2 linked regions of the Lonchura striata genome follow. The protein of the gene in region 1 interacts with the protein of each later gene in a biochemical or structural test. Links are inferred from orthologs where the notes say so. Each region holds a gene or a part of one and is shown on either strand. Other genes may lie near its edges. The genes, in order: MC4R and POMC.

Region 1 (15,960 bases):
ATAATATCATTAAAAAGTTTCAGAGTATTAATTTGAGGATAAAATAAAAAATAAATGTTAACAGTATTTTTTTCTCTTTACATTTTTCAGAATAAGCTTCCAAGACCCTGAGAAGAACTTAGGGCACTGAACTGGTATTTCAGAAAAGGATATGATTAAAATGAAGTAATAGTTCTAAAAATTTCTAGAAAGTGTCTCAGCCTGATTGGGAAACTCAGGTAGAAATAGACAAAGTTATGATCCCTGCTGTGTGTGAAATAAGAGGAGAATGCACAACTCTTGCAGGAATGTAGCAAAGGGAGAGTAAGAAATGTTGATGTCTCTATCCAGCCATAAGGCACTAAGTCTGACCACCACTTTAAATTCATTTCAAAACAGCAAATGAATGGAATTCAGACATGAAAAGGTAAAGGGTATTTATTGTCTGAATTCCAAGAAGCAATCTGAACAATAACCCAGCCTGAAAATAAGAAACCTACTATACAAAAAATGAAGAGGAGAGACCCCTCAGGCTAGAAAGCATAAAATAAATGAATAAAAACCCCAGTCAAAATAGAATATTCACAAGAGTTGGTAGCATTATAAAAGCAGCAATTTTTTTTTCAAGAAACTTGTTCAAAAGTGTAGCTTGTTGATTGTATCTGCTATTGACCTCTGCAGGCTTGGCTTGGAAACTCTATGTAGGATAGAAAATGTCACATGATGCAGCCAATAAAAACTGCACAAAACTAAGCCTCTCATGAAGCTTGACCTTTCCTTTAAATGGCTTGTCTTTCAAAATTTTGATTGAAGGTGATCTCTAGTCCCAGAAAATGCTCTGAATTAATAAGAATAGTGAAAACTGCACCACATTTATTATCACCACATTGATTATTTTGTGAGACTGGGTGCATTATATGTTTGTCATTTAGGTCAAGATTATAGAAGCCAGAGAAAGATTACTTTTCCATGCAATACTCAGTCCACACTGAAACAACAACTGTTCTTTGAGGAATAGATTGTATTTTTCTTGGTGTTTATGACAGTGGGGTTTCATGTCATTTGATTCCATCAAATAAATATATCAAACACTTGAGATGAAATCCGGTGATTAAGAGGGATGGACTGCTAATTCTGCAGACAGCAACTAAAATCTTTAGAGATCACATAGCTTTAAACAAACTTTCATTCATGCCACTGATTTTTTAAATGCATTAGAAAGGTTTCAACTTGCTATTTTCATTAATTTTATGTCACTGTGCATGGAAAATTGTCTTTGGGGAGGTAGTGCAAGATGTAAAGAAGAGAATATATCTTTTATATGAGAATTCACCTGAAATAAAGCATAACTGGCCCTTAAATTGCTTGTTTGTTTAATACAAAGTACTTAAGCACTGTCATCCAGCAAGCAGTGAGAGCACATTGCGGTATCTGATAGTTAAAAGAGACCTGTAATGCTTCATCCTTGAATCTCTTTTCTATCATGTAAATTAATTGAAATGCAATTATATGTTTCCCATGACTCTGAGACAGAAAACTACTTTCTTCTGTCTCAGAGTGATTTTAATCACTTTAATGCAGAAAATCACTTGCTTGAATTTTAGTGACCTTGCTAACTATCATTTGTGTAGATTTTATACCCGGAGAGGTAGGAAAAAGGGGGATAAACCTCACAAATAGCTTGTTATACTTCATTGCAGAAAATCCTTTTCATACTGATAGCTCACCATATAGTGAGATGCTTATAAGAGCTATTAAAAAAAATAAATCTTTTGGGACTTAGCAGTGTTTACACTTCCCAAGAGATGAAAGTCGCACATATATCTACACTCACGAAACTTGATGGGGAAGGTTGTGCTCTTTCCTTCAACAGCTTCTCAGCTGAAGTTAGGTCTGATTCTCTTCTCTGTCTGCTTTTCATTGCTTCTCAGAACCTTTCTGGGTTTCACAGGGGATCTCAGCTGCTCTACCAGCTATAAGAATGTCACCTTATAATCAGAAGTAAACATTGGTACTCCATTTTGCTGGAGAGTTGTCATATGGCTCTGTTTAAAGCAGTGTTGCAACCTTCTCATTCTTTATACTTCTGGCCATGATGTGGCTTAACTGAATTAGTCTGTCACTAAGCATGTGATAAATCATATAGATTTAGTAGCACAAATAAGCTAGTTCAGTCCTCCGTTCTACTATTCTGTCTCAACAAGCATTTTTCAAAATTATAAGGAAAACCTCCTAAAAGGCAGAGAAAAAGGATGCTTGTTTGATGTCTTTCAAAGAAGCTCATAATTTCCTTTATTAAAGTAAGGAAGATGAAACAGAATTTTTTAGGAAAACACACAATATGATTTAATTGTACTTTGTGTATCTGAGTTTGAAGACAGAAAAAGACACTGTAGTGTCTGTTCCTAAAATAACTTGCTAAAGAAGTTTTATTTAATATTATCAGCAATAATTGCTGGAAATTGTTGCCTTTCTCAGAAAGAAATCTGAATCAGTCAGTTCTTCCCAGGATGTAGCTATCTGCCATGTAAATTTTGAGTAAGCTAATTCAAGCTTCCCAGGGTGATGAAAAAACCTTTTGCTTGCTTGGCCATTATTTACACATTTCTTAATTTTTCTGTGATTTTCTTTATGTGATTAATTTTTTAACATTTTCAGGGCTTTTTTCTGTTTAATTTTTTTTTCAGTTATCTGCAGGAATTCACAGTACCCTAAGGTGCTGCATGCTGGCATATTGATATATATATATATATATATATGTTCAGGCTAACAGTCCTTGGAGGGATTTTACCTTTATTTTCTGCTTTCCTTTACTGGAAAGGAAATGTAACATGCATTTAAATTGGCTTTGTTTCCCTTGCATCCCATGTTTACAATTCTCTACCTCATTCTTGCAGACGTGAGGAGGAAATCTCATCTCTGTTGCTCCCACAGTGCCACAGTAAGAGTCACTCTGGAGTAGGGGACTAACTGAATAAATATGCCCAAAAACCATTTGACATCTCAGTTTACACAACTGCAGAGATTCCCTTCCTCACTGAAAAATTTTACATATGGCATGTGAGGATCCTTTGGTACTTTGTTTTCCCCTGTTTAACTCTCAAAGGTTTCAAACAACACTCTAGTCTCTCAATTAAACAGTTAGCTTCAACAAAATCTCTTTACTGTACAAAGAGAGATAAAATATTACTAATACATTAAAGAATTTCAGTCCAGCTTGAGAACTCTGGAGCTTTTCTTGGTCACCTTTAAAAGGGGATATACCTTCACCCACAGTTCTGTAGACCGCTTCTGAGCCCTTATCAATCTTTAACTCATTTTTGGGATTTAGACTACCAGTAGTCCCATCTTGTCTGTTGAAGCAAAAGCATCTCCGAGTCCAGGTTGATTTCTCAACCATCAGGGTGATTCAAGTATTAATCTTCTACCATGGCTACTTTCTCTCCCTTCTGTTCTTTTTTCAAACAACCGTAGAGTGTGGAGTTTGGAACAACGTAAAGACACGAGCTACTCAATTTATTACACTGCTCTTATATATACTTTCAACCTTTCATTTTCATGAGAGTCTGTTATGGCAGAAAGTCATCAGCCTCTGTCACAGAAAGCCATAAAATCTGTATGCCATGAGCAGAGAAGAAAATTATTTATAAGGCATATATTTTTCCCCTAAAAAGCGAAGAAAGGAGACTCCTCCTGAGGTTATGAAAAATAACCCTTCAGTGAGGGCTAGAAGTTCTCAGCAATGACCCAGATCAATTCTGCTATTCAAAAACAGGAATTGGTTCATGCCCCTGAATTTTAGAAGAAGACTTTTCTACAAGAGTTTTGAAAATAAAATATTTCTGCTTTCCATTGGGTCAGCTTCATTATCAATATAATCTTGTAACTCAGACTTTTTTAAAGTACCAGAGATCTTCAAAGGAGGAACAGCAGTTTTCACAAGATGAAAGGGGGTTTTTTCTCACCATATGCTGATGATTGCTGTAAAGAGGTTATTGGGAAATCAAATCACTGCAGACATTCTGCAACACTTCAAAAGTCTAGACATTTTGTACTTTCCCCTTCTGTGTCCAGTTCTCAGAGAAAACAATGACAATTTTGGATTGTGTGTCAGTGACAATACACTTACCTGAGGGAATTACTCTCAGGGTTGTCCTTTCATCTAGTCTTAATCCTGACACTGCTGCTGCCTGACTCACTCATTGTCACATCACTTGGTGTGTCTGCTTTATATCTTATGTCAGATTATGACTCTGGGATTTCTAGTTGCTTAATGGAACTCCTATGGAGGAAAACAATTCACAAGTAGTTTAAGCACTTCCTGCAGACTCTGTCCAAGACTGCTTCAATATCTCTACTAAGAAACAGAGTGCTTAGAGGAGCTACCAAAATGAATGGAAACCCTAAAAATCCACTGTGCAGATATAAATATGTATATATATGCAAGGTTTTGTGCAGAACATTCAGTGAGGGTTAAAATAAGCTGGTTTTTGGTAACAGAATGTATGTGTGTATGTATGTAAGCCCTTTCAGACATAAACTATGCATCTTGAACAGTGCCTACTTAAGTACACAACTCTTCCTTCCTGTAAAGCCACTAAAGAAATGATTACATGGTATTGTCTGGCATTTCCATTGGAGTAACAACAATCACACTCAGAGGTGAGTAGATTGAAAGAAAGACTCAAGCCAGTTAGTAGCTTTCCATCTCACATAACTTTTGGTTACACTGCCATTCAGAGAACTTTTCTGAGAAACTGAAGTCATTGACATCATACAAAACAGCTGGGTTTTTTTTTCCCACAGCATAATCCTGGGCTTTCTTTAGATGATGATCTTCCAGTTTTTCTGCTGTGGCTCTCTATTTCTTATTCAACTATAATGAGACATGCCATTTTTCATGGTTAGACAGCGGGACTGACTAGGTTGTTTTTCAGCTAGAATGAAATGTTACAGCATTTCTCACACAGATAAAAACTGAGTATCATTATGGTAGAAAAGTCACAATGATAAACTAGAAAAGTGAAGATATTTTTAAACTTCGTCATATAAAATTATCTCATGATCTAAAGTGAGACAAAGAATGGTAGTGCTGAAAATGGCCCTGTCAGGTGCATATAGGAAGTGGAGAAGAGTATTAGCAGTATTACTTCCACTATATGTATGTTCAAAGGTCATGAAGAAAGGAAATGACCAGATTAACAGCTTATTTTTAAAAATCATAAATAATTTAAATAGTTGCTTATTTATATATATATATATAAATCAGTGTTATTGTTTTTTGGTTTGATGAGCTGGATTGATGGAAATATTTATTTTGTACTTAAACCCAGATGCTGCTGTATGTTTTTTTGAGAGATTTTTAGAGAGGGATAGTAACACCGAGGAGATTGTGGAGTCCCTTGGACTAAGTACTTCAGATGAGTCTGAACAGCAAGCACCTAAATCTACAAGCAAGGAAAAGAAAATTGATTATTTGTGAAAGATGGGATGAGGGAGAAAAAACTACAGGGATGTCATTGCTGCATTGACTGCAACTTAATAGTATCCATTATCACAATGCTGGTCACCTAAAATAGCAATGAGATCAGATGTAAACAGGTTAGTGTTTAAAGCCTCTGTGCTTCTCATGCCATTTTAATGGAAAGCATTCAATTTCTATTCATTTTCAAGTAATCACAAATGTATCATAAGGCAGAAAAATCAACATTTATGTGCTTTTAGTCTCCAGACTGATTAAGTGTTTCTCCTTTTCTTTTAACTAAAAGACATGAGGAAAAGAGGCAAGCTACAAAGACTCCTGCTCTCGACACCGAAGTCCCTTGATTTAAAAATTCCTTTCACTTTAAAAGATAAATATTATGAGGTAATCATAATAAAATGCCAGGTGAAAAGATATTAGACCAGTTTCCCACTGACCAACATTTTTTATTTGCATATAGTCCCAAAATACAGTGATCAAAATCCTGAACACTGGGAAGCAATGGAGAATATTTGGGGTTTTTTTTAATTATTCCATTCCTAACAGGGATATTAATAGAGACTGCATCACCTAGAGATTTTCAGATTGTAGTAAGCTGGTGGGTAAATGGTGGACAGACTAAAGAACAGAGATTTGATGTTGTGAGACCAGAAAAAAACTACTGGTCCAAAAATGTGAGCAAACAAGCGTACCCATATTGTTCAGAGGCTAATTTACTGAACTAGAAAGAATCAAAGAAATGCTTCTTCCAAAGACATCTGTGGATAGGAGGTAGAAGTACACTGCATTATTTTCATAATTTTGGTGAGTATCTTGAGTGCTAGGTGGAATTTGCCACTGCTACATAGAGAGATGATGCACACTAAAATCTCATAGAAACTTCCAAAGTTTAATTACCTGGCTCTTTTTCTTTTTTTTTTTAATTTCAAAATCAGCATGCTAAAATATACTGCAGTTTTTACTACAATTATAGACTTGAGTTTTTGAATGCACAGAAAAACTGGATCTGAGGACATGTAATCAAAGTCCTCCATGAACTATGCTTGTTCATGTAAATGCAGCATCACCCTTTGGACAGTACCAGCATAGTCACACAAAGCCAAGGGACTAATTAAATGTTAATAATCTGTTTCTTTGGTTACCCCTTCTACCCAGCTTCCCACAACCACTCTTACAGATGCTGAGGTGCTAAATATTATCACTGTGCTTGAGTAATGTGGCCATGGGATTCAACGGGATCTCACACATTGTGCATTTGAGTAGGAAAGGGCCTGGGTGGACTCCCTCTGTTTTTCTTTTTCTCCCACAGTGGACATGTACAGCCTGCTCATGTCTCTGCCTGTCTTCTTGTATCACTTTTGGGACTGCTCATTGATTTCAGTGAATGCTTTGTTCTGATTTTCAAATTCAACTGCCAGAAGATAATTAATCTTTCGAAAATATTGTGAGGTGGAGATGGCTGTAACCCTGTCTGGAAAGAGGGTGTCAAAGCGTATCTCCAAACAGAGCATAGAACATGGGGGAGTTATATTAAAAGGGGAGGCTCTGCTCAAATCTTTGTTGATGGCTTATTTCTCTTAAGAGCTGGAGCTTATATTAGTATATCACTGTAATCAGTTTCTAGTTTTCTGCAACCATGGTTGGTATTCCAAGGTGCTGAGAAGCTTGCAGGCCATTACTATCGAAAAAATATTGTCACAGCATTAGTTTTTAAAATTTAAGAAATAATTTAGGCAATATCTGTTAGACAATATTCCTTTCATCTTTGAAATAGATAATTGAAATATTAACATGTCTTCAGTCATGAGGGAGCTAGGATACTTTGAACAATTTTAGCATTATGTGGTTTATTTCTTATTAAATGGGAGCCTGAGACATGCATCCATCTTTTTCCATGGAAGAAATTAGATGCACATACATCTTCTCTCATTTTAAAGAAGTGCTCATATAATTTGTTTTGCCTTTTAGTTAGATCAGGCTGATGATGCATCATCTCTTCAGTGCTTCGACTAAGTTGCTAAGCTACCTTAAGTCTGCTGCTTATAAAACCTCATTCCACAAATATGAGTGGAAAGCACCAAAACAATTGGGCCCCAAGAATACAAAGCATAAGCAGAAATTTGGAGGGGAGTGATGATTGTGGGTGGGGAGAAAAGTAGGCTTTTCTTTCCATTTTTATAATCAATATTACATTTTTATGACACATTCAGTGAAAAATCAGACAAGGAATCACCTGGATAGCTTCTGGGTGGAGAGAGCAAATGAAAACATATATAGTGATAAGATTGGAGATAATGTGCAGAGAAAATGAGGAACCAGGAGGGGAATAGACTGACAGATAATTGGAACAAGTGGGGCAGTACTCCTTGGAGGAAGCTTCTCTCTATTCTTGACAGGCTAACCTGATCTAAGTCCACCTAAGTAGGTGAAGAGAGAGATCCCTGAATTGTGGGCATTTCCAGCATGGAGAATATTGTGAAAGAAGGGATGTTGAGTGGCTACTCTCCTGGGATAACTTGAAGATTACACATTTCTAGATTCAAGTGTAGAAAAGAAGGTTATGAGGAGATGCTGTTCTCCCACATCAGTCTTTATATATATTTTTTATAGTTCTTTTCTTTAATGGTTAGGTGTGCATTAGCTGTCTGTATCAGGAATTAGTGAATACCGTATCACTAACAGTGATACTGCCTGAGGATCAGTAACTAAATAAAAAATCCTCTTGAGTTCTTGCTTGCATTATGTCTTGACAGTAAAGCAAATGTCACATTTTCAGGAGCAAACTATTTAATTTCAAGCATTCTGCTCATAAATTATGTAATCCAAACTGATAAATGTGGGATTTCCTGTGCCACAAGTTATTTTGTTGGTCATGGTACTTTATGTTTCAGCTTTATGAAGCAACCTAGCTGAAGAAGGGGCCAGAAAAAAATTGATTGAGGCTTTTCTTCCAATATAGGTCTTCATAACCATAGGTCTGCAGCAATACAAACGTGAAAGTAAAATCACACTTCAACCTGATGTTGAGATGTTAAATACAGATAGTTGTGCTTCTACATGCATTCTGTCATCCTGTACCTCTTTATTAGGTGGTTCACTTTTCAACCAGCTAACACACTGAAGATGAAAATATTTTGAGACATTATAGAAAATAGACTTTTGCATTAGGTGCAGACTCCTCCAAAACCTGACTGGTAGTCAACTGGAAATGCTCTTTCAAACAATTCAATCGCAAATATTACTCTCAGATATGGTGACAGAAATTCCTATGGCATTTAAAATCCATTTGTGTTTTAGGCTTTGCTTAGCATATTTCTTTTTCAAACCTCAGTTGCAATGCTTGAAGATGTAACAGCAAAACAACTTTTGTCCTGTCTCTTCATGTTACTTTGGCATTCTTTTCTTCTTTATTCTCAAGGGTTTTTCCTAACACACTGCACACAAGCAGACTTTCAGCTCATGCCCAGTAAGTCCAGGGATATCCCTGTGCTTCTAGGGCTCCTGGGCCATGTGGACTTCTAGGAGATTTATTGATGCTTTTGTGTCATTGCCACTGTATGAGCTCTATTTCTTACAGGTTCCAACTTTGTCTCCTGCAGATTTCCTTCAACTGTTCTAAATACTGAGATTTCTTTTTCTGCCCAATATCTTAATTCTTGATGATGACAGGGCTTCTGCAATCAACTCCATTATCTTTTTCTTCTCAATAAGATTACTAAGAAGTCTATTACCTGGAAAAAATGACTTTATTTAGGACAGTTTATTATGTCATTTGTGACTTTGAGTCATGGTGGTTTTGGTCTTTATCTTGCCTCCATACATTAAAAATGATAATAATCTTATTAGAGAGTATAATGCAACCTTGCCACACATCTTGGAAATGGACAGCTAAGGCATAGAAAAATAGCAAGGCAAATGGGACCAAGGAGAGAGAACCATGAGGAAATATATATTATTTTTCTTCCCTTTCCTGTTCATATTTTGCTGCACATACAAAGCAGAACAAGTTTGTGCCACAGAAGGAGCAAGAACAAATCTGAATCTGAAAAATAAAATTTATCACTTTAGCTGAAAGACTTCTGTAAGATTGCTAGTACAGTTCTGAAAGTTTTGCTAATTGAAAATCAGTACTGAAATATTATTCTGTGAAGCTAAAGAAGAGAAGCAAATCTCTGGTAGCTTGTCTGCTTTCCTGTAGCTACTGGTAACTCGTGCTGCATCTGAACCCGCTGTGCCGTGCCGTGTGATGTTTCACAGAGGCTCAGAATCAGCAGCCCCTCCACTTTCTGCAGTCCTGAGTCCCATTGGCTGGAAAGAAAAGCAGAGGCGGAGAGTGCCCTGAATATTTTTCTCTTCCACACACGGTGAAACAGGCAGCCAGCATGCACTGCCTGACAGTGAGAGTGGTGCTTACAGTTTGACAATAGTTCCTGCTCCGCAGCAGTCATTTGGGCATTTTATGGTCGCATCTCTTTAATGGAAAGCACCAAAAAAGCCTTGCAGCATTCCAGTGAACTAAAGAGGAACTAACCATGGGAGAATCTGATTAAAACATAGAGACTGTTGGGACTCTGTGACATAGATCACCAAGGTAAATGCAATGACTATTCAGAAACTCTGTCTGTAAGGGTGTAAACCAGTTCTTCTGAGTCTGAAATCTTATTTTTTCACAGTAGTCGAAGTGTTCTGAACTGCTGCCTGCCTCGGTCCTAGCTTCTTTTTTTCTTTTCCAAGCTGAAAAGCCAAAGAAGGTTTTCAAAGGAATGCAAAAGGAACAGAAGTTTTAAAAGCGGGAAGCCGAAAGACATCTCCATAAGATGAATTTCACCCAGCATCGTGGGACACTCCAGCCTCTCCATTTCTGGAACCACAGCTACAGACTGCACGGAGGAGCTAGTGAACGCACTGTGAAGGGCCACTCCTCAGGAGGCTGCTATGAGCAACTTTTTGTGTCCCCTGAAGTGTTTGTGACTCTGGGCATCATCAGCTTGCTGGAGAACATCTTGGTCATTGTGGCGATAGCCAAGAACAAGAACCTCCATTCTCCCATGTACTTCTTCATCTGTAGCTTGGCAGTGGCTGACATGCTAGTGAGTGTATCTAATGGATCAGAAACCATTGTCATCACCCTGCTAAACAACACAGACACAGATGCACAGAGCTTTACCATAAACATTGATAATGTCATCGACTCAGTCATTTGCAGTTCCTTGCTTGCATCAATTTGCAGTCTTCTCTCAATAGCAGTGGACAGGTACTTTACTATCTTTTATGCCCTCCAGTACCATAATATCATGACAGTGAAGCGTGTAGGGGTTATCATCACATGCATCTGGGCTGCTTGCACAGTCTCAGGCATTTTGTTCATCATTTACTCTGACAGCAGTGTTGTCATCATCTGCCTAATCAGCATGTTCTTCACTATGCTCATTCTCATGGCATCCCTCTATGTCCACATGTTTATGATGGCTCGTATGCACATAAAAAAGATTGCTGTTCTTCCAGGGACTGGCCCTGTTCGTCAAGGGGCCAACATGAAAGGGGCCATCACTCTCACTATCCTGATTGGAGTTTTTGTTGTGTGCTGGGCTCCATTTTTCCTACACCTGATTTTCTACATCTCCTGCCCCTACAACCCTTACTGTGTGTGCTTCATGTCCCACTTTAATTTCTACCTCATCCTCATCATGTGCAATTCCATCATTGATCCACTTATCTATGCATTCCGTAGTCAGGAGCTTAGGAAAACATTCAAGGAGATTATATGCTGTTGTAGCCTGAGAGGGTTTTGTGATTTCCCTGGCAAATACTAAACTGAATGGATGGATAAGTTACTGTGTACACAACTGGCAGCATAGATTTCCTAGCCTTCGGATCTTCTTTCTCAGCAGAATTTGGTTTAAATCTTTAAGAGTGACCATCTGTTTCTGTGTTCCCCCCCCCACCCCCCCACCCCCCCCGCCGATTCTTGTGTTCCATTCATGTGGAATTCATATTTCTGTATAATATTCATGATGTCTATAGTTTGTAATTTATTTGGCTGGAAAGATCAGTAGCACTTCATACCAGTTTGTAAATAAGCAAATAAATGTAATGATGAATATAAAATAGCAACAAACATGAGCAGCTATATATTCCAACTGCTGACAAAATAAATATCTTGCCTGACTTATAGTACATACTGGCTAATACTGTTTCTTATTCTGTTGAAGTAATTATAGCTATCCACTACATTATACTCAGTTAATAATAGAGCATGTGCTTCTACATTAGTAGATTAAAGGTTCTCTGGAATTAGAAAGCAGATTTTTCAGAAAGGCTAGTGAAAGCAACAAGTTCTATTTATACATTTTGAACTCTTCTTGTTTTGCTTCACAGCAGAAATTCTACTTTTTCTTTCTTACTTTCCCTGCCCACAAGAAGAATTTTCAAACACTTGCTACACAGCCAGTTGAATGCTTGGGCTTTGGGCTGGGTTTTTTTCCAAGATGATTGCTGTATGTCTGAGAGTACCTTTTTGCAAAATTTAAATTGCTCCCTGGAGCATCAAATAGTCCTGGATATATCTACTAGACTGGCATCCAGGCAGACTAGCTCCCTCCATTCGGCCATGAAACAGGTACAATATTAACTTTGACAGTGCCAGCAGCAGTGCAAATATTCACTGAGAGATTTACCTGGTGAAATAGAGAGGGAAGTTCAATTGGAACATTCAGTCATTTTTCTGAGGTGCTGTGGAGAATAAGGACTCTGTGCTCCAGATGGAAATGCATCCTTGTTGAAAACAAACTGCCCTCTGTTGTGAAGTGCAATGGTAGCAGATGGGATCCACTGCCAGGATCTTTACACAGGAGTCAAGGCAAGTGTTAATTTGGTCTGGGCACCTCAGCCCATACTGTGGAACATATGGGCTTTGGAGGGGCAGTGCTGTCACATGGAATGAGTGCCTGCTGATGAGTCTGGTTACACACGCTCAGCATCTGGCAGCTGCTTGAATTCAATTCACCTTTGCAGGCATCTACTTGATGTGTTCTCAGTTTCACCCTAAAATTCCATGCTCTTCACAGGTTGTTTTAAGGACCTCGGGTTCCTGGTATTAGTCCTTTTGGAGGTGTTTAAAGCATAAATGTGACTACACAAGATTCCGTGAAGATGTAATTTAGTATCTTGATATTTTGATGATATCAGCTTCTATATAAGGAGAAAAAAGAGTAATTTATCTATTTCCAGAAAGTATAAAACACAGTGAAACTTGTAGAGGATCTGGAGAGTTCTGATTTAAGAGCTCAAAATTAAAAGTAAAAAACAACTCAGGTTTTAATGCTGAATGCTTGCTTTTTGCCAAGATGAACAGTGAATGAATGAAATACGGGATGGCCAATCCTATTTATTTTCTTGTAAACAGATTGTTCTCTTCAGCTGCTATTTTTTTCATCAAATTAAAACATAAAATGAAAAGCTATTCAAAGAGAGCAATGATTGCTATCTCAGATTCTCCAGACAGAAGCTGATATTTCATCGTGGATAACTTTTCAGGATATCGCAGAACTACAACATTTGCCCCTCTGTTAAAGTGCATGAAAGACTTAGGGTGAGTCTTAGTGTTTTTAACTTTAACTATTTATAGGAAGAGCAAGAAAATCATTTGCCTTTGTGCATTGAAGTCCCTTGGTAGACCAACAGCACCAACATCAGGTCTCCTACAACCTACTCTTGTGCTTGGGCCAATCCATGGACCTTGCTGCTTGCAACACCACTATTGATATTTCTCAGCTTTAACAAATGATATTTCCACATCAGTCGTAGTGTGAAGGGTATTGAATTATATCTACTACATTAATTCTACTATTTTATTCTGGAAGAAACTGTAAATATTTCAATAATACCTGGTTCCACTCGATATAGAATAAAAAATGCCAAAGGAGGAGAATTAAAGCCCAAGCAGAGAAAGAAAAAATGCATTTAAATTAATATTCTATCCAAAAATCCAGTGAGCTTTGCTAAAGGCCTTTCCTTCTCCCACAAGACACAATACAAAAATACTCTGGTTGTAATGAAAGAAAATATGGATGCCAGTTTAAACAAGGCATAAATCCTACTTGATCTTTGCTTTGCCTCATTTTCTATAGCTGTTTTAGGACTGTAAATTATGACACTGGGGGCTTCAGCTTTTCCTTTTGTAGTCCATAGCTGCAGAGAGGGCCCCAATGAAAGTGACCAAAGAGCAAAATACTACCTTAGGTGCTCTGAACATTACCTTGAAAGTCTCTATTTCTCCCCTTCATATGTACAAGGAGCAGATACTTCTGAATTCTGAAGAGGCTGTATTTAAAAAAAACCCAGTGTGTATCTCTTTTATGCTTATTTGGACTATGACTAGTCAAGACAGTTGTGACACCATTAGGCTCTAAATTTCATTTATAAATATAATTTTTAAACTATCTTATTCCAGAGCTTTAGCAGCTCTGAGACTGTTTAGCAGCACTTCTGTCTTTATTTCATAACAGTATATGTACATAGATATTTTTAAATGGAGTTTCTAATTAAAGATGATTTTTTCATTTCATGGTATCATTTTGGAGAGTGCAATTCATTGAAATTGTTGGCACATCTGCTACATAGATTATTTTCCTATTCCAAAATAGTCTGTTTCTTCTGAGTAGCTGAATCAGTTTGCCAGAACCATAGGAATTATTCTTGCAAAAGATAAATTAATTAATCTAGTTTATTGGAGATTGGGAGGAGTGGAGGATTATTTTCCACAGTCAATTTTCTGGAGCTTTGTTCTTCTATTTGAAAATACTCCAGGAAAATGTGATTTCTTTATTTAAATTACTAGGACTGTAATTGCTTTAGCACTTAGCATTTTGGTCATGTTAGGTAACTGTAGTGGGCTGACCCTGGCTGGATGCCAGGCACCCACCAAAACTGCTCTCTCATTCTCCTCTGCAGCTGGACAGGGGAGAAAAAATATAATTAAGGATTCATGAGTTAAGAACCAGGAGAGATCACTCATGAATGATCTGTTCATGAACAAAACAGACTCAAATTAGAGATATTAATTGAATTTGTTACAATCAAAGTCAGAGCAGGATAATGACAAGTAAAATATAACCTTAAAAACTTCTTCCCTCCACCCCTCCCTTTCTCACTCCCTCCCAGCTCTACCTCCTCCTCCCAGTGCCACAGGGAGACAGGGAATGGGGTTTATGGTAAGTTCATCACACATTGTTCCTTCCACTTCTCAAGGAGAGGAGTCCTTCCCCTGCTGCACTGTGGGGTCCCTCCCACAGGAGGCAGCTCTCCATGAACTTCTCCAATGTGAGTCCGTCCCACGGGCAACAGTTCTTCACAAACTGCTCCAGCGTGGGTCACTATTCCACAGGGAGAAGTCCTTCAGGCACATCCTGCTCCAGCATGGGTCCCCCAAGGGACCACAAGTGCTACCAAGAGACCTGCTCCAGTGTGGGCTCCTCTCCACAGATCTGCAGGTCCCAGCAGGAGCCTGCTCCAGCATGGGTTTCCCACAGGTTCAGAGCCCTCTTTTGGGCATCCCCCTGCTCTGGTGTGGGTCTCTCCCATGGGCTGCAGGTGGATCTTTGCACTCCCATGGACCTCCATGGGCTGTAAGGAAATCTGAGATCCAGTGCCTGGAGCACCTCCTGCTCCTCCTTCTCCACTGACCTTGGTGTTTGCAGAGCTGTTCATCACACATGTTCTCACTTCTGTCTTCTCTGGCCACAATTAGATCCGACAGTAACTTTTCTTCTTCTTGAATATGTTATCTCAGAGGAGTTGCCATCATTTTTAACTAGCTCAGCCTTGGACAGCAGCAGATCTGTCCTGGAGGCAGCTGGCATTGGCTCTGCCAGACCTGGAAGAAGTTTCTGGCAGCTTCTACAGAAGCAGTTTATGCAAACCCAATACAGCAGCAATGGCATGTTCTTCTGCAGCAAGCCTTTTCCTGAGCTAGACATTGATGGTAGTGTTCTCCACATTTTCCTAACAACTTAAATTTTACACAAAAAGTTTTTGAAGGAAATGTCTATCTTCTTCAAGAAGGACTTTTCTTTAGCTTCGAAGCAGTTTTAGAACAAAGCAAAAGACTTCGAAAAGCACTTAGAGGATGTAGTTAGTCTCAGTACAGCAGATTTTGAATGATGACCCAAAATGTCTTTTACATCTGAAATATGATATTATCTGGAAGCAAGGATAAATGCTTTAATAGAGTCACATTATTAAAAATGCAGCAATGCCTTCAGTTATGCCTTTAAGAGATGTGTAGTGCACATGTTATTGATGTAATCATAAAATTACTCTTTTGCTCTTAAACTGATCTTGTTATACAGTGTGTTTATTGGGGCCTCCTTCATCCTCAAACCTAATTCTGGTGAAGAACTTTGATGTTATTTTTAACACACTGTATTGCTTATAGGCTTGCATAAGAATTGCAGTCCCAATCCCACTGGAAGGAACTCTACAAAAATGTACCCTTGGGC
Region 2 (16,241 bases), on another chromosome or scaffold:
CCCATTTCCCCCCCTTTTTATTTTTTCCCTTTTTTTGGTTATTTTTTCCCATTTCCCCCCCCTCTTTTTGGTTATTTTTTCCAATTTTTCCCCTTTTTTGGTATTTTTTCCTGTTTTCCCTTTTTTCTGTCACTTTTCCCCAGATTTTCTCTTTCTTTTGCTATTTTTGCCCATTTTTTCCTTTTTTTTTTTTGTTATTTTCCCCATTTCCCCCATTTTTTGGTTATTTTTCCCAATTTCCTTTTTTTTTGTTATTTTCCCCCCACATTTTTCCCCTTGTTATTTTTTTCCCTTTTTTTTTGTTATTTTCCCCCATTTCTCCTTTTTTTTTGTTATTTTTTTCCCTTTTTTTGGTTATTTTCCCCCATTTCTCTCTTTTTTTTTTCCTTGTTATTTTTCCCCTATTTTTGGGTTATTTTTCCCCTTTTCCCATTTTTTTGTTCTTTTCCCATTTCCCCTCCCGGGGGATTTGTGGGATTTGAGCCGGGCCGAGATTTTCACACCTAAAGGTCGCCAATGACGCAGGAGCCACTCAAAAATCTCGTTTTTTTTCTTTATTTTCCCCTATTTTTCCCTTTTCCCTGATTATTCCCATTTTTTCCATTTATTCCAAATTTTTTCCCATTTTTTTCCAGTTTTCCCCCCCATTTTATTCCCATTTTTATCCCATTTAATTCCCATTTTTCCCCTATTTATTCCCATTTTTTTCCCACTTTTCCTGATTCTTTCCCCATTTTTTCCCATTTATTCCCATTTTCCCTGATTTCCCCCCATTTATTCCCATTTATTCCCATGTTTCCCAATTTCCCTCATTTTTTCCCCATTTCCCTATTTATTCCAATTTTTTCCCCATTTTTCCCCATTCCCTTTTTTTCCCTATTTATTCCCATTTATTTCCCATTTTTCCTGGTTTTCCCCCTCATTTATTCCCATTTTTCCTGATTCTTTCCCCATTTATTCCCATTTATTCCCATTTTTCCATTTTCCCCTTTTCAATGGAAGATCAGAAATGACGCAGGAGTGACACAAAAATCTGATTTTTTTTCTTTATTTTCCCCTATTTTTCCCTTTTCCCTGATTATTCCCATTTTTCCCATTTATTCCAAATTTTTCCCATTTTTTCCCAGTTTTTCCCCCCATTTTATTCCCATTTTTACTATTTTTCCCTCATTTATTCACGTTTTTACTGATTCTTTCCCCATTTTTCCCATTTATTCCCATTTTGTCCTGTTTTTCCCCATTTATTTCCATTTTCTCCCCATTTCACTCTATTTATTTCCATTTTTTTCTCATTTATTCCCATTTTATTCCCATTTCCCCCCCATTTATTTCAATTTTTCCCATTTCTCCCCATTTCCCCCCATTTTTTTCTCATTTCTCCCATTTTATTTCCATTTTTCCCCCATTTTATTCCCATTTATTTCCATTTTCCCTCATTTATTTCCCAATTATTCCTATTTTGTCCCATTTTCTCCCTCTTTTCCCCATTTCTCTCATTTTTCCTCTTTTTTTTTCCCAATTTATTCCCATTTTCTCCTCGTTTCCCCCCATTTTTTCCCCTTTATTTCCATTCCCCCATTTATTCTCATTTTTCTCCCATTTCCCTCTTTTATTTCCAGTTTATTCCCAGTTTATTCCCATTTTTTCCCCATTTTCTCCCATTTTTTCCCCATTTTATCCCCATTTTTTCCCATTCTTCCCCATTTCCCCCATTTTCCTTTTTTTTTCCATTTTTCTTCCATTTTCCATTTTCCCCCATTTTATTTTCATTTTTCCCATTTTTCCCCATCTTTTCCCATTTTCAGCTCATTTTCCCCCAATTATTCCCATTTCACCCCCATTTCCCCCATTTTTTCCTTTCTTTGAATTTTCCCCATTTTATCCCATTTTTTCCCATTTTATTTTCATTTTCCCCCATTTTCCCCATTTTTTCCCCATTTTCCCCCTATTTCACCCATTTTATTTTCATTTTTTCCATTTATTCACATTTTCTCCCATTTTATTTTCATTTTTTCCCATTCCCCCCCCATTTCCCCCATTTTTACCCATTTCCCCCATTTTTTCCTCAATTTTTCCCATTATATTTTCATTTTTCCCATTTTCCCCCTTTTTTTCCAATTTTATTTTCATTTTCCCCCCTATTTCCCCTTTTTTTCCTTTTTTCCCATTTCCCCCATTTCCCCCCCTTTTTCCCATTTTATTTTCCTTTTTCCCCATTTTCCTCCATTTTCCCCCTTTTTTTGCCATTTTATTTTCATTTCCCCCATTTTTCCCCTTTTCTCCATTTTATTTTCATTTTCCCACATTTTTCCCATTTTATTTTCATTTTTTCCCATTTCCCCCCCTATTTCCCCCATTTTTACCCATTTTCCCCATTTTTTCCTCAATTTTTCCCATTATATTTTCATTTTTCCCCATTTCCCCCCCTTTTTTCTTATTTTATTTTCCTTTCCCCCCCCTATTTCCCCATTTATTTCCCTTTTCCCCCCCTTTTTTCCCATTTTATTTTCATTTTTCCCCATTTCCCCCATTTCCCTCATTTTATTTTCATTTTTTCCCATTTTCCCCCCATTTATTCCCATTTTCCCCCCCATTTTCCCCATTTTTTCCCATTTTATTTTCATTTTTCCCATTTCCCCATTTTCCCCCCTTTTTCCCATTTTATTTTCCTTTTCCCCCATTTCCCCATTTTTCCCCTTTTTTTTTGCCATTTTAGTTTCATTTTTCCCCATTTATTCACATTTTCTCCCATTTTATTTTCATTTTCTCCCATTTTCCCCCCATTTTTTCCCATTTTCCCCCCATTTTCCCCATTTTTTCCCATTTTCCCATTTCATTTTCATTTTTCCCCATTTCCCTCATTTTATTTTCATTTTTTTCCCATTTATTCACATTTTCTCCCCTTTTATTTTCATTTTTCCCCATTTCCCCCCATTTATTCCATCCCCCTATTTCCCCCATTTTCCCCCCTTTTTTGCCATTTTATTTTCATTTTTCCCCATTTTCCCCCATTTTCCCCCTTTTTCCCCGTTTTATTTTCATTTCCCCCCTTTTTTCCATTTTATTTTCATTTTTCCCCATTTTCCCCATTTTATTTTCATTTCCCCCCATGTTCCCCCTTTTTTCCCATTTCATTTTCATTTTTCCCCATTTCCCTCATTTTATTTTCATTTTTTTCCCATTTATTCACATTTTCTCCCATTTTATTTTCATGCTCCCCCTTTTTTCCCATTTTATTTTCAGTTTTCCCCATTTCCCCCATTTATTCCCATTCCCCCCATTTCCCCCATTTTCCCCCTTTTTTTGCCATTTTATTTTCATTTTTCCCCATTTTCCCCTTTTTTTCCATTTTATTTTCATTTTCCCCCCTTTTTTCCCATTTTATTTTCATTTTCCCCCATTTTCCCCCAATTTATTTCCATTTCCCCCATTTTCCCCCATTTTCCCCCTTTTTTCCCATTTTATTTTCATTTTTCCCCATTTCCCCCCATTTATTCCATCCCCCTATTTCCCCCATTTTTCCCTTTTTTTTGCATTTTCCCCTAAAATTCCCCAGTTTTATTTCCATTTTCCCATGTTTTGCCCCCTTTTTTTGCCATTTTATTTTCATTTTTCCGCATTTTCCCCTAGAATTCCCCAGTTTTATTTTCATTTTCCCCCATTTTTCCCCTTTTTTTGCCATTTTATTTCCATTTTCCCCATTTTCCCCATGAATTCCCGGTTTTATTCCCATTTTCCCGTATTTTCCCCGCGCCCTTTCTCCCCTCCCCGCTAATCCCGGGGTTGTTTTTTTTTGCTCCTTTGTCGATGTTTTTTTCCCGGTTTTTTTCCCGGTTTTTTCCCGTTTTTCCCGTTTTTTTCCCGTTTTTTTCGGGCCGGCCCCGCCCCCGCCCCGCGGATAAAGCGCGGCCGGAGCGGCGGCGGCGGCGCGAGAGCGGCGGCAGGTAGGACAGCGCCCCATTAATTAGCCCCGATTAATTAGCCCCGATTAGCCCCGATTAGCCCCAATTAGCCCCAATTAGCCCCGAATTATCCCCAAAATATTCCCAAAACCGCCCCAATTAGCCCCAATTAGCCCCAAATTAGCCCCAATTAGCCCCAAAATATTCCCAATTAGCCCCAATTAGCCCCAAATTAGCCCCAATTAGCCCCAATTAGCCCCAATTAGCCCCAATTAATTAGCCCCAATTAGCCCCAATTAGCCCCAATTAGCCCCAATTAGCCCCAAAATATTCCCAATTAGCCCCAATTAGCCCCGATTAGCCCCAATTAGCCCCAATTAGCCCCAAATTAGCCCCAATTAGCCCAAATTAGCCCAAATTAGCCCCAAATTAGCCCCAATTAGCCCCAATTAGCCCCAATTAGCCCAAATTAGCCCCAATTAGCCCCGATTAGCCCCAATTAGCCCCCAATTAGCCCCCAATTAGCCCCAATTAGCCCCAATTAGCCCCAATTAGCCCCGATTAGCCCCGATTAGCCCCCAAATTAGCCCCGAATTAGCCCCAATTAGCCCCAATTAATTAGCCCCAAATTAGCCCCAAATTAGCCCCAAATTAGCCCAAATTAGCCCCAAATTAGCCCCAATTATCCCCAATTAGCCCCAATTAGCCCCAATTAGCCCCAATTAGCCCCAATTAGCCCCGATTAGCCCCGATTAGCCCCAATTAGCCCCGATTAGCCCCGATTAGCCCCGATTAGCCCCAATTAATTAGCCCCAATTAGCCCCAAATTAGCCCCAATTAGCCCAAATTAGCCCCCAATTAGTCCCAATTAGCCCCAATTAGCCCCAATTAGCCCCAATTAGCCCCCAATTAGCCCCACTTAGCCCCAATTAGCCCCGATTAGCCCCAAATTAGCCCCAATTAGCCCCAATTAGCCCCCAATTAGCCCCAATTAGCCCCCAATTAGCCCCAAATTAGCCCCAATTAGCCCCCAATTAGCCCCAAATTAGCCCCAATTAGCCCCAATTAGCCCCGATTAGCCCCAATTAGCCCCAAATTAGCCCCAATTAGCCCCAGTTAGCCCCAATTAATTAGCCCCAAATTAGCCCCAAATTAGCCCAAATTAGCCCCAATTAGCCCCAATTAGCCCCAATTAGCCCCAATTAGCCCCAAAATATTCCCAAAACCGCCCCAATTAGCCCCAATTAGCCCCAATTATCCGCGAAATTGCCCCAATTAGCCCCAAATTAGCCCCAATTAGCCCCAATTAGCCCCGATTAGCCCCAATTAATTAGCCCCAATTAGCCCCAATTAGCCCCAATTAGCCCCGATTATCCCCGAAATTGCCCAAATTAGCCCCAATTAGCCCCAATTAGCCCCGATTATCCCCGAAATTGCCCAAATTAGCCCCAAATTAGCCCCAATTAGCCCCAAATTAGCCCCAATTAGCCCCAAATTAGCCCAAATTAGCCCCAATTAGCCCCAATTAGCCCCGAATTAGCCCCAATTAGCCCCAATTAGCCCCGATTAGCCCCAATTAGCCCCAATTAGCCCCAATTAGCCCCAATTAGCCCAAATTAGCCCCAATTAGCCCCAATTAGCCCCGAATTAGCCCCAATTAGCCCCAATTAGCCCCGATTAGCCCCAATTAGCCCCAAATTAGCCCCAATTAGCCCCAATTAGCCCAAATTAGCCCCCAATTAGCCCCAAATTAGCCCCAATTAGCCCCAATTAGCCCCAATTAGTCCCAATTAGTCCCAATTAGCCCCGATTAGCCCCAATTAGCCCCAATTAGCCCCAATTAGTCCCAATTAGCCCCAATTAGCCCCAATTAGCCCCAATTAGCCCCGATTAGCCCCAAATTAGCCCAAATTATCCCCAAATTAGGCCCAATTAGCCCCAATTAATTAGCCCCAATTAGCCCCGATTAACCCCAATTAGCCCCAATTAGCCCCGATTAGCCCCAATTAGCCCCGAAATTGCCCCAATTAGCCCCAAATTAGCCCCAATTAGCCCCAATTAGCCCCAATTAGTCCCAATTAGTCCCAATTAGCCCCAAATTATTCCCAAATTAGCCCCAAAATATTCCCAAAACCGCCCCAATTAGCCCCAATTAGCCCCGATTAGCCCCAATTAGCCCCAATTAGCCCCCAATTAGCCCCCAATTAGCCCCAATTAGCCCAAATTAGCCCCCAATTAGCCCAATTAGCCCCAATTAGCCCCAATTAGCCCCAATTAATTAGCCCCAATTACCCCGATTAGCCCCAATTAGCCCCAATTAGCCCCAATTAGCCCCAATTAATTAGCCCCAATTAGCCCCAAATTAGCCCCGATTAGCCCCGATTAGCCCCAATTAGCCCCAATTAGCCCCAATTAGCCCCAATTTAGCCCCAATTAGCCCCAATTAGCCCCAATTAGCCCCAATTAGCCCCCAATTAGCCCCCAATTAGCCCCAATTAGCCCCAAAATATTCCCAAAACCGCCCCAATTAGCCCCAAATTATCCCCAAAATATTCCCAAAATTGACCCAAAATAGCCCCGAATTGCCCCGAAATTAGCCCCAAATTATCCTCAAATATCCCCAAAATAGCCCCAAATTACCCCCAAAATATCCTCGAATTAACCCCAAAATATCCCCAAAATATCCCTGAATTAGCCCCAAAATATTCCTGAAATATTCCCAAAATAACCCCAAAATAGCCCCAAACTGGCCCGAAAATATTCCTGAAATATTCCCGAATTACCCCGGAATTAACCCAAAAATATCCCCAAATTATCCCCAAAATAATAGTCCCAAAATATCCCTGAAATAGCCCCAAAATAATCCCAAAATAGCCCCAAAATATTCCTGAAATATTCCCGAATTACCCCGGAATTAACCCAAAAAATCCCCGAATTATCCCCAAAATAATAGCCCCAAATTATCCCCAAAATATCCCCAAAATAGCACCAAAATATCCCCAAAATATTCCCAAAATATCCCCAAAATATCCCCAAAATTTCCCCAAAATATTCCCAAAATAACTCCAAAATAGCCCTGAATTATCCCCAAAATTATCCCCAAAATTATCCCCAAAATATCTTTTTAAAAATCCCCCCAAAAATTTAAAAATCCCCGAAATTTCCCCAAAATATCTTTCAAAAATCCCCCCAAAACCGCCCCCCCCCAAAATTCCCAAAATATCCCCAAAATTCCTTTAAAAACACTTTTTAAAAAAAAATCCCAAAAATCTCTAAAAAATCCTAAAAAATTTCCCCAAAATTTCCAAAAATCCCGGAAAAAAATCCCGGAAAAAAAACCCAAAAATATCCTTGGAAAATCCAAAAAAATCCCAAAAAAATCCTTTAAAAATCCTTGTAAAGAGCCCAAAAAATTTCCAAAAAAATCCTTAAAAATCCCCAAAAATCGATTTAAAAACCAAAATAAATCCTAAAAATTTGGGGGGATTTTTTGGGGGATTTTTTGGGGATTTTGGGGATTTTTGGGGGATTTTTGGGGGATTTTTTTTGGATCTTGGGGAGGATTTTGGGGGGATTTTTTTGGGGGATTTTTGGGTATTTTTGGGGGGATTCTTGGTGGGAATTTTTTGCCATTTTTGGGGAATTTTTGGGGAATTTTGGGGATTTGTTCGGGATTTTTGGGGGGATTTTTTGGGATTTTTTTAATTTTCTGGGGATTTTGGGGGATTTTTTGGGGGATTTTTTGGGGGATTTTTTGGGATTTTTCGGGATTCTTGGTGGGATTTTTGGGGATTCTTGGGGGGAATTTTTTACCATTTTTGGGGAATTTTTGGGGGATTTTTTGGGGGGATTTTTGGGGGATTTTTGGGGGGATTTTTGGGGGGATTTGGGGGGATTTTTGTGGGGGATTTTTTGGGACTTTTTGGGATTTTTTGGGGATTTTTTGGGGGATTTTTGGGGATTCTTGGGGGGATTTTTGGGGATTCTTGGTGGGAATTTTTTACCATTTTTGGGGAATTTTTGGGGATTTTTGGGGGAATTTTTTGGTATTTTTTTATTTTCTGTGGATTTCGGGGGTTTTTCAGGGGATTTTTTGGGATTTTTCGGGATTCTTGGTGGGATTTTTTTACCATTTTTGGGGAATTTTTTGGGATTTTTTTTATTTTTCTGTGGATTTGGGGGATTTTTCAGGGGATTTTTTGGGATTTTTTGGGGGATTTTTTGGGATTTTTCGGGATTCTTGGTGGGATTTTTTTACCATTTTTGGGGAATTTTTGGGGGATTTTTGGGGAATATTTGGGGGATTTTTTTGGGGATCTTGGGGGATTTTTTGGGGGATTTTGGGGGATTTTTGTGGGGATATTTCGGGGAGTTATTTTGGGAATTTTTGGGGAATATTTTGGAGATTTTTGGGGGGATTTTTTGGGATTTTTTTATTTTAGGGGGATTTTTGGGGAATTTTTCGGATTTTTTGAGTGATTTTTGGGGAATTTTTGGCGATTTTTTGAGGGGATTTTTCTGGGAGGTTTTGGGGGATTTTGGTGGGGATTTTATTTTTAATTTTGGGGGATTTTTGGGACCGTTTTGGGGATTTTTGGGGGGGATTTTTGGTTTTTAAAGGAATTTTTGGGGGGATTTTCCAGAGGGAAACTGAGGCACGGAGCTCCCAAAAGATTCCCAGAATTTTTTCGGGATTTTTTCCCCAGTCCTTCCCAAAAAAATCCCCAAAAATCCTTAAAAAAAAATCCCGAAAATCCCTTAAAAATCCTTTAAAAATCCCCCCTAAAAAAATGAAAATTCTCTAAAATATCCCCAAAATTATTTTTAAAAATTCCAAAATATCCTCCAAAAAATCCCAAAAACGAAAAAAAAATCCTCAAAAAATCATTTTAAAAAATCCAATAAAATCCCTGAAAAATTCCCTAAGAAATCCCAAAAAAACCCCAAAAAATCCTTTAAAAATCACCCAAAAAATCACAAAAAAAAAAACAACTCAAAAATTCCCAAAAAAATCCCGAAAAAAATCCTGAAAAAAATCCCAAGAAAATCCCCAAAAATTTCCATAAAATCTGGAAAAATCACCCAAGAAATCCTAAAAAAAAAATCTTAAAAAAAACCCTAAAAAATCCCCAAAACCCCCCAAAAATTCCATAAAACCCCTCAAAAATCCCTAGAAAAATCCCCAAAATCCTTTTAAAAATCCCCCCCAAAAAAAATCCTCAAAACCCCCCAAAAATTCCTTAAAAACCACCAAAAATTCCCAAAACAATCCCCAAAACATCCTCCAAAAAATCCCAAAGAATAAAAAAAAAAAAACGATAAAAAACCCCAAAAAATTCTTGAAAAAAATCCCCAAAAAAATCCCCAAAAATCACCAAAAAATTCCAATAAATCCCCAAAAATTTCCCTGAGAAATCCCAAAAAAAAAAACCCTGAAAAAATTCCCAAGAAATCCTCAAATAATCCTTAAAAAAATCAGAAAAAAATCCTTAAAAAATCCAAAGAATCCCCAAAAAAATCCCCAAAAAATTCAGTTTTTTTCCCAAAAATTCCCAAAAAATTCCCCAAAAATTCCCCAAAAATTCCCAAAAAATGCCCGAATTCCCGTTTTTCCGCAGGTTTCCGGGATTTCGGGATGGGCCCGCGGCTTCTGCTGCCGCTGCTGGGGCTGCTGCTGGCGCCGGGCGGCGCCGTCCCGGTAACTTCGGCATTCCCGGGAATTCCCACGCGGGGCGGGAGGCGTTTCGGGGTGAAGGGGGAATCCCAAAAAATCGGGGGGGGTTGGGATGAAATCCCAAAAAATCGGGGGGGGGTTGGGGTCCAATTCCCAAAAATCGAAGGGGTTGGGGATGAAATCCCAAAAAATCGGGGGGATTTGGGGTCAAATTCCCAAAAATTGGAGGGGTTTGGGGTCAAATTCCAAAAAATTTGGAGGGATTTGGAGAATGAAATCCCAAAAAATCGGAGGGGTTTGGGGAATGAATTCCCAAAAAATTGGAGGGATTGGGGATGAAATCCCAAAAAATCGGGGGGATTTGGGTCCAATTCCCAAAAATCGGAGGGATTGGGGAATGAAATCCCAAAAATCGGAGGGGTTTGGGATTAAATCCCAAAAAAATTGAGGGGTTTGGGGAATGAATTCCCAAAAAATTGGAGGGGTTTGTGATGAAATCCCAAAAACTGGAGGGATTGGGGAATGAATTCCCAAAAAATTGGAGGGATTTGGGGTCAAATTCCCAAAAAAAATGGAGAGATTTGGGATGAAATCCCAAAATATTGGAGGGACTGGGGAATGAAATCCCAAAAATTGGAGGGATTGGGATGAAATCCCAAAAAATTGGAGGGGTTTGGGGTCCAATTCCCAAAAATCTGAGGGGTTTGGGTCAAATTCCCAAAAAAATGGAGGGATTGGGGAATGAATTCCCAAAAAATTTGGAGGGGTTTGGGGTGAAATTCCAAAAAATTGGAGGGATTTGGGGTCCAATTCCCAAAAATCGGAGGGATTGGGGAATGAATTCCCAAAAAATTGGAGGGATTGGGGAATGAAATCCCAAAAAATTGGACGGATTGGGATGAAATCCCAAAAAATTGGAGGGATTGGGGAATTAAATCCCAAAAAATTGGAGGGATTGGGGAATTAAATCCCAAAAATCTGAGGGGTTTGGGGTCCAATTCCCAAAAAAACTGGAGGGATTGGGGAGTGAAATCCCAAAAAATTTGGAGATGGATTTGGGATGAAATCCCAAAAAAACTGGAGGAATTTGGGGTCAAATTCCCAAAAAAATTGGAGGAATTTGGGGTCAAATTCCCAAAAAAAAAGAAGGGAAAATTTGGGAATCAAATCCCAGAAAATCCAAAAATTTGGGAATCAAACACAAAAAAATCTGGAAAATGGGGAACTTGGGAATTTCCCTGGAAGTTTTTCAGGATCTCATCCCAAAATTCCCAAAAAATGGAAGAATTTGGGAATCAAATTCATAAAATACCAAAAAATGAAGGAATTTGAGAACGAAATCGCAATAAATGGAGGGATTTGAGAATCAAATCCCAGAAAATCCGAAAATTTGGGAATCAAACACAAAAAATCCCCCAAAAATGGGGAATTTGGGAATTTTCCTGGAAATATTTTGGGATCTGATCCCAAAATTACTTAAAAATGGGAAAATTTGGGAATGAAATCCCCAAAAAATGGAGGGATTTGGGGTCAAATTCCCAAAAAATCAGAGTTGTTTGGGATCAAATCCCAAAAAAAAAAAAAAAAAAAAGGGGAAAATTTGGGAATCAAATCCCAGAAAATGATAAATTTTGGGAATCAAACACAAACAAATCTGAAAAATGGGGGAATTTGGGAATTTTCCCAGGGATTATTTTGGGATTAAATACTCAAATTCCTAAAAAATTGAGGGGTTTGAGATAAAATCCCAAAAAATGGGGAAATTTGGGAACGAAATCCCAAAACCAGGAAAATTTGGGAATCAAATCCCGAAACTTTGTGGGATTTGGGAATGAAATCCCAAAAAATAGGAAAATTTGGGAATCAAATCCCAAAAAACAGGGAAATTTGGGAACGAATTCCCACAAAATGTCGGGATTTGGGAATGAGATTCCAAAAATTTCCCAAAAAATGGGGGAATTTGGGAATGAAATCCCAAAAATTTGAGGGATTTGGGAACGAAACCCCACAAAACGTCAGGATTTGGGAATGAGATCCCAAAAACGGGGGAATTTGGGAACAAAATCCCAAAAAACGGGGAAATTTGGGAACGAATTCCCACAAAACGTCGGGATTTGGGAATGAGATCCCAAAAATGGGGAAATTTGGGAATCAAATCCCAAAAAATGGGGAAATTTGGGAACAAACCCCCCCAAAAACGTCGGGATTTGGGAGTGGGGATTTTCTGTTGGATTTTTTGGGTCTGAATCCCTAAAAAATCCCAAAAAAAACGTGGGAATTCCGTCCCACTATTCCCGTCATTTTTGCCATACCAGGCTTAAACCAAATTCCAAAAATGGGGAAATTTGGGAAGGAAATCCCAAAAACAGGAAAATTTGGGAATCAAATCCCGAAACTTTGTGGGATTTGGGAATGAAATCCCAAAAAATTGGAAAATTTGGGAACCAAATCCCAAAAAACGGGGAAATTTGGGAACGAACCCCCCCAAAAACGTCGGGATTTGGGAATGAGATCCCAAAAATTTCCCAAAAATGGGGGAATTTGGGAATGAAATCCCAAAAAACGGGGAAATTTGGGAACGAATTCCCACAAAACGTCGGGATTTGGGAATGAGATCCCAAAAATGGGGAAATTTGGGAATCAAATCCCAAAAAACGGGGAAATTTGGGAACAAACCTCCCCAAAAACGTCGGGATTTGGGAGTGGGGATTTTCTGTTGGATTTTTTGGGTCTGAATCCCTAAAAATCCCCCCAAAAAATTTGGGAATTCTGTCCTGCAATTCCCATCATTTTTGCCATTCCAGGCCTAAACCAAATCCAAAAAAAATGGGGAAATTTGGGAACAAAACCCCACAAAACGTCAGGATTTGGGAATGAGATCCCAAAAATTTCCCAGAAATGGGGAAATTTGGGAATGAAATCCCAAAAAACTGGAAAATTTGGGAATCAAATCCCAAAAAATGGGGAAATTTGGGAACGAAACCCCATAAAACGTCAGGATTTGGGAATGAGATCCCAAAAATTTCCCAAAAATGGGGGAATTTGGGAATGAAATCCCAAAAAATTGGAAAATTTGGGAATCAAATCCCAAAAAACAGGAAAATTTGGGAACGAAATCCCACAAAACGTCGGGATTTGGGAATGAGATCCCAAAAATTTCCCAAAAATGGGGGAATTTGGGAATGAAATCCCAAAAAACAGGGAAATTTGGGAACGAATTCCCACAAAACGTCGGGATTTGGGAATGAGATCCCAAAAACGGGGAAATTTGGGAATCAAATCCCAAAAAACGGGGAAATTTGGGAACGAACCCCCCCAAAAACGTCGGGATTTGGGAGTGGGGATTTTCTGTTGGATTTTTTGGGTCTGAATCCCTAAAAATCCCCCAAAAAAATTTGGGAATTCCGTCCCACAATTCCCGTCATTTTTGCCATTCCAGGCTTAAACCAAATTCCAAAAATGGGGAAATTTGGGAAGGAAATCCCAAAAACAGGAAAATTTGGGAATCAAATCCCGAAACTTTGTGGGATTTGGGAATGAAATCCCAAAAAATTGGAAAATTTGGGAACCAAATCCCAAAAAACGGGGAAATTTGGGAACGAACCCCCCAAAAACGTCGGGATTTGGGAGTGGGGATTTTCTGTTGGATTTTTTGGGTCTGAATCCCTAAAAATCCCCCCAAAAAATTTGGGAATTCTGTCCTGCAATTCCCATCATTTTTGCCATTCCAGGCTTAAACCAAATCTCAAAAATGGGGAAATTTGGGAATCAAATCCCGAAACTTTGTGGGATTTGGGAATGAAATCCCAAAAAATTGGAAAATTTGGGAATCAAATCCCAAAAAACGGGGAAATTTGGGAACGAAATCCCACAAAACATCAGGATTTGGGAATGAGATCCCAAAAATTTCCCAAAAACGGGGAAATTTGGGAACGAAATCCCAAAAAACGGGGAAATTTGGGAACGAACCCCCCCAAAAACATCGGGATTTGGGAGTGGGGATTTGCTGTTGGATTTTTTGGGTCTGAATCCCTAAAAAATCCCCAAAAAAACGTGGGAATTCCGTCCCGCCGTCGCCCTTGCAGGCCTGTCCCGGGATTTCCTCGGAGCCGCCGCTTTTTCCCGGGAAGGGCCAATCCCGGCCGCTCTCCGAGGGCCTCCGGCGCTTCCGCTGGAGCTGGCAGGACGCCTCGCATCCCGGGAAACGGGAGGAGCTGGCCGGGAAAACGGCGGGAATTGCCGGCTCTTCCCGCTTTTCCGACGAGGCCGAGGACGGGAAGCGCTCCTATTCCATGGAGCACTTCCGCTGGGGAAAACCCGTCGGGCGCAAGAGGAGACCCGTCAAGGTCTACCCCAACGGAGCCGAGGAGGAATCGGAGGAGAATTCCCGCCCGGAATTCCGCAGGGGAGAATCATCCGAGGAGGAGGAGGAAGAATTCCCGGAATTCCCGTGGGATTCCCGGAAGGAGAAGCGTTACGGCGGATTTATGAGCTCGGAGCGGATCCGGACGCCGTTGGTGACACTCTTCAAGAACGCCATCGGGAAGAGTTTCGCCAAGGATGGGCAGTGATGGGAAAAATCCCGGGAAAATCCCAGAAAAAAAATCCCGGGAAAATCCCACGGGGAAAAATTCCCGGAAAATCCGGGGAAATCCCCCGGGATTCGCGGCCCCCGTAGCGTCCCCTTAGCGCTTCATCCTTCCTAATAAAAAATCCCGGGATTCTCGGGCGGGAATTCCCGGGTTTGGGAGTTCTTGGAATTGGGGCGGATCCCGGTTGGGAATTCTTGGAAATATTGTAAAGGAGGGATGGAAAATTCCCAAAAAAAAAAAAAAAAAAAAGCTACGGATGAGAGCGCTGGGAAGGGGAAAAAACGGGAATTTGGGTCGGGAAAGGGTTGGAGGGTGAATTTTTGGGATGAGTTGGAATTCCCAGGTTGGGAATTCTGGGAAGTTTTCCACGGGAAAAACAAGGACGGGGTGCAGGGAATGGATTTCCATGGGAAAAGGGAGGAATTTTGGGAAGGAATTCCCAACATTTGGGGAAATTTGGGGTTGGAATTCCCTGAGAATCTCTGGGAATGGCCAAGGAAAAGTTGGGAAATTCCAGGATCGTGGGATTGGGATTGGGGTGGGATGGAAGATCCATGGATCCCAACAATGGAATTCCAGGATTCTGGAATTCATCCCGAGGGATTTTTATGGAATTTGGAGATGGAAAAGAGAATCCCGAATTCCCAGGGAATTCCCAAAATTCCTTCCCGGAGAGGAGCTGGGATGGGGATGGATCCAATCCCAGGCTGGGAATGGCGGGAATTCCCGGGGAAAAGAGGAAATGGAATTTGGGAAGGAATTCCCAACCTGGCGGGAATTCCTGAAGAATCCCTGGGAATTCTTGGAATTCCCCTGGGAAACCTTGGAATGGGATGGGATTTCAGATCCATGGATCCCATCCCAGCCATTCCAGGATCCCTCCAAATCCCCTTGGAAAAGCTCTGGAGCCCCTCCCGTTATCCCGGGAAAAAAACCAGGATGGGATTTGGGAATGGGGATTTGGAATTCCGCTGCTCCCGTCGGAGCCGATCCCAAATCCGGGAATGCTCCGAGCTCCAAAATTCCATGGGCACCAACCCCAATCCTGATCCCGATCCTGATCCGATTCCCAGTTCTGGTCGCGATCCCAATCCTGATCCTGATCCAGATCCTGGTCCCATTCCCAATTCTGATCCCGATCCCCAATCCCAATCCTGATCCGGATCCTGATCCGGATCCTGGTCCCAATCCTGATCCCGATCCCAATCCCAATCCCAATCCCAATCCCAATCCCAATCCCAATCCCGATCCTAATCCTGATCCCATTCCTGATCCTGATCCTGATCCTGATCCTGATCCTGATCCTGATCCTGATCCTGATCCCGATCCCGATCCCAATCCTGATCCCAATCCTGATTCTGATCATGATCCCGATCCCGATCCTGCTTCCAATCACGATCCTAATCCTGATCCTGATCCTGAATTATGATTTTGTTCCTGCTTCTGATCCCAACCCCAATCCTGATCCTGATCCAAATCCCCAATCCCAATCCCAATCCAGATACCGATCCCTAATCCCAATCCTGATCCCGATCCCGATCCCATTCCCGATTCTGACCCCGATCCCTAATCCCAATCCTGGTCCTAATCCTGACCCTGATCCTGATCTTGATCCTGATCTTGATCCTGACCCCGACCCTGATCCCGATCCCGATTCTGATCATGATCCCGATCCCGATCCCGATCCTGATCCCAATCCTGATCCAAATCCTGGTTCCAATCCTGATCCCCCCCCAATCCCGATCCCAATCCTAATCCTGATCCCAATCCTGATCCCATTCCTGATCCTGATTCTGATCCCAATCCCCAATCCCGATCCCAATCCTAATCCTGATCCAAACCCTGATCCAAATTCCCGATTCTAATCACGATCCCAATCCCTGGTTCCGATCCTGATCCTGATCCTGATCCCGATCCCAATTCTGATCCCGATCCCCAATCCCAATCCTGATCCTGACCCCGATCCTGATCCCGATCCCCAATCCCTGGTTCCGATCCTGACCCCGATCCTGACCCCGATCCTGATCCCGATCCCCAATCCCAATCCTGATCCTAATCCTGATCATGATCCCA

What was found.
Region 2: the proteins of MC4R (region 1) and POMC form a complex in vitro, tested with the Homo sapiens proteins (2 studies listed by BioGRID). The link is inferred for Lonchura striata from reciprocal best matches to the Homo sapiens genes MC4R and POMC.

What each region holds. Positions count from the first base shown.
Region 1 is NC_134603.1:97,658,030-97,673,989, reverse strand, and holds MC4R (melanocortin receptor 4), read left to right. Parts: upstream 1-9,825; 5' UTR 9,826-10,052; intron 10,053-10,134; 5' UTR 10,135-10,278; coding exon 10,279-11,274; 3' UTR 11,275-11,410; downstream 11,411-15,960.
Region 2 is NC_134605.1:112,533,536-112,549,776, reverse strand, and holds POMC (pro-opiomelanocortin), read left to right. Parts: upstream 1-9,537; coding exon 9,538-9,600; intron 9,601-13,661; coding exon 13,662-14,147; 3' UTR 14,148-14,425; downstream 14,426-16,241.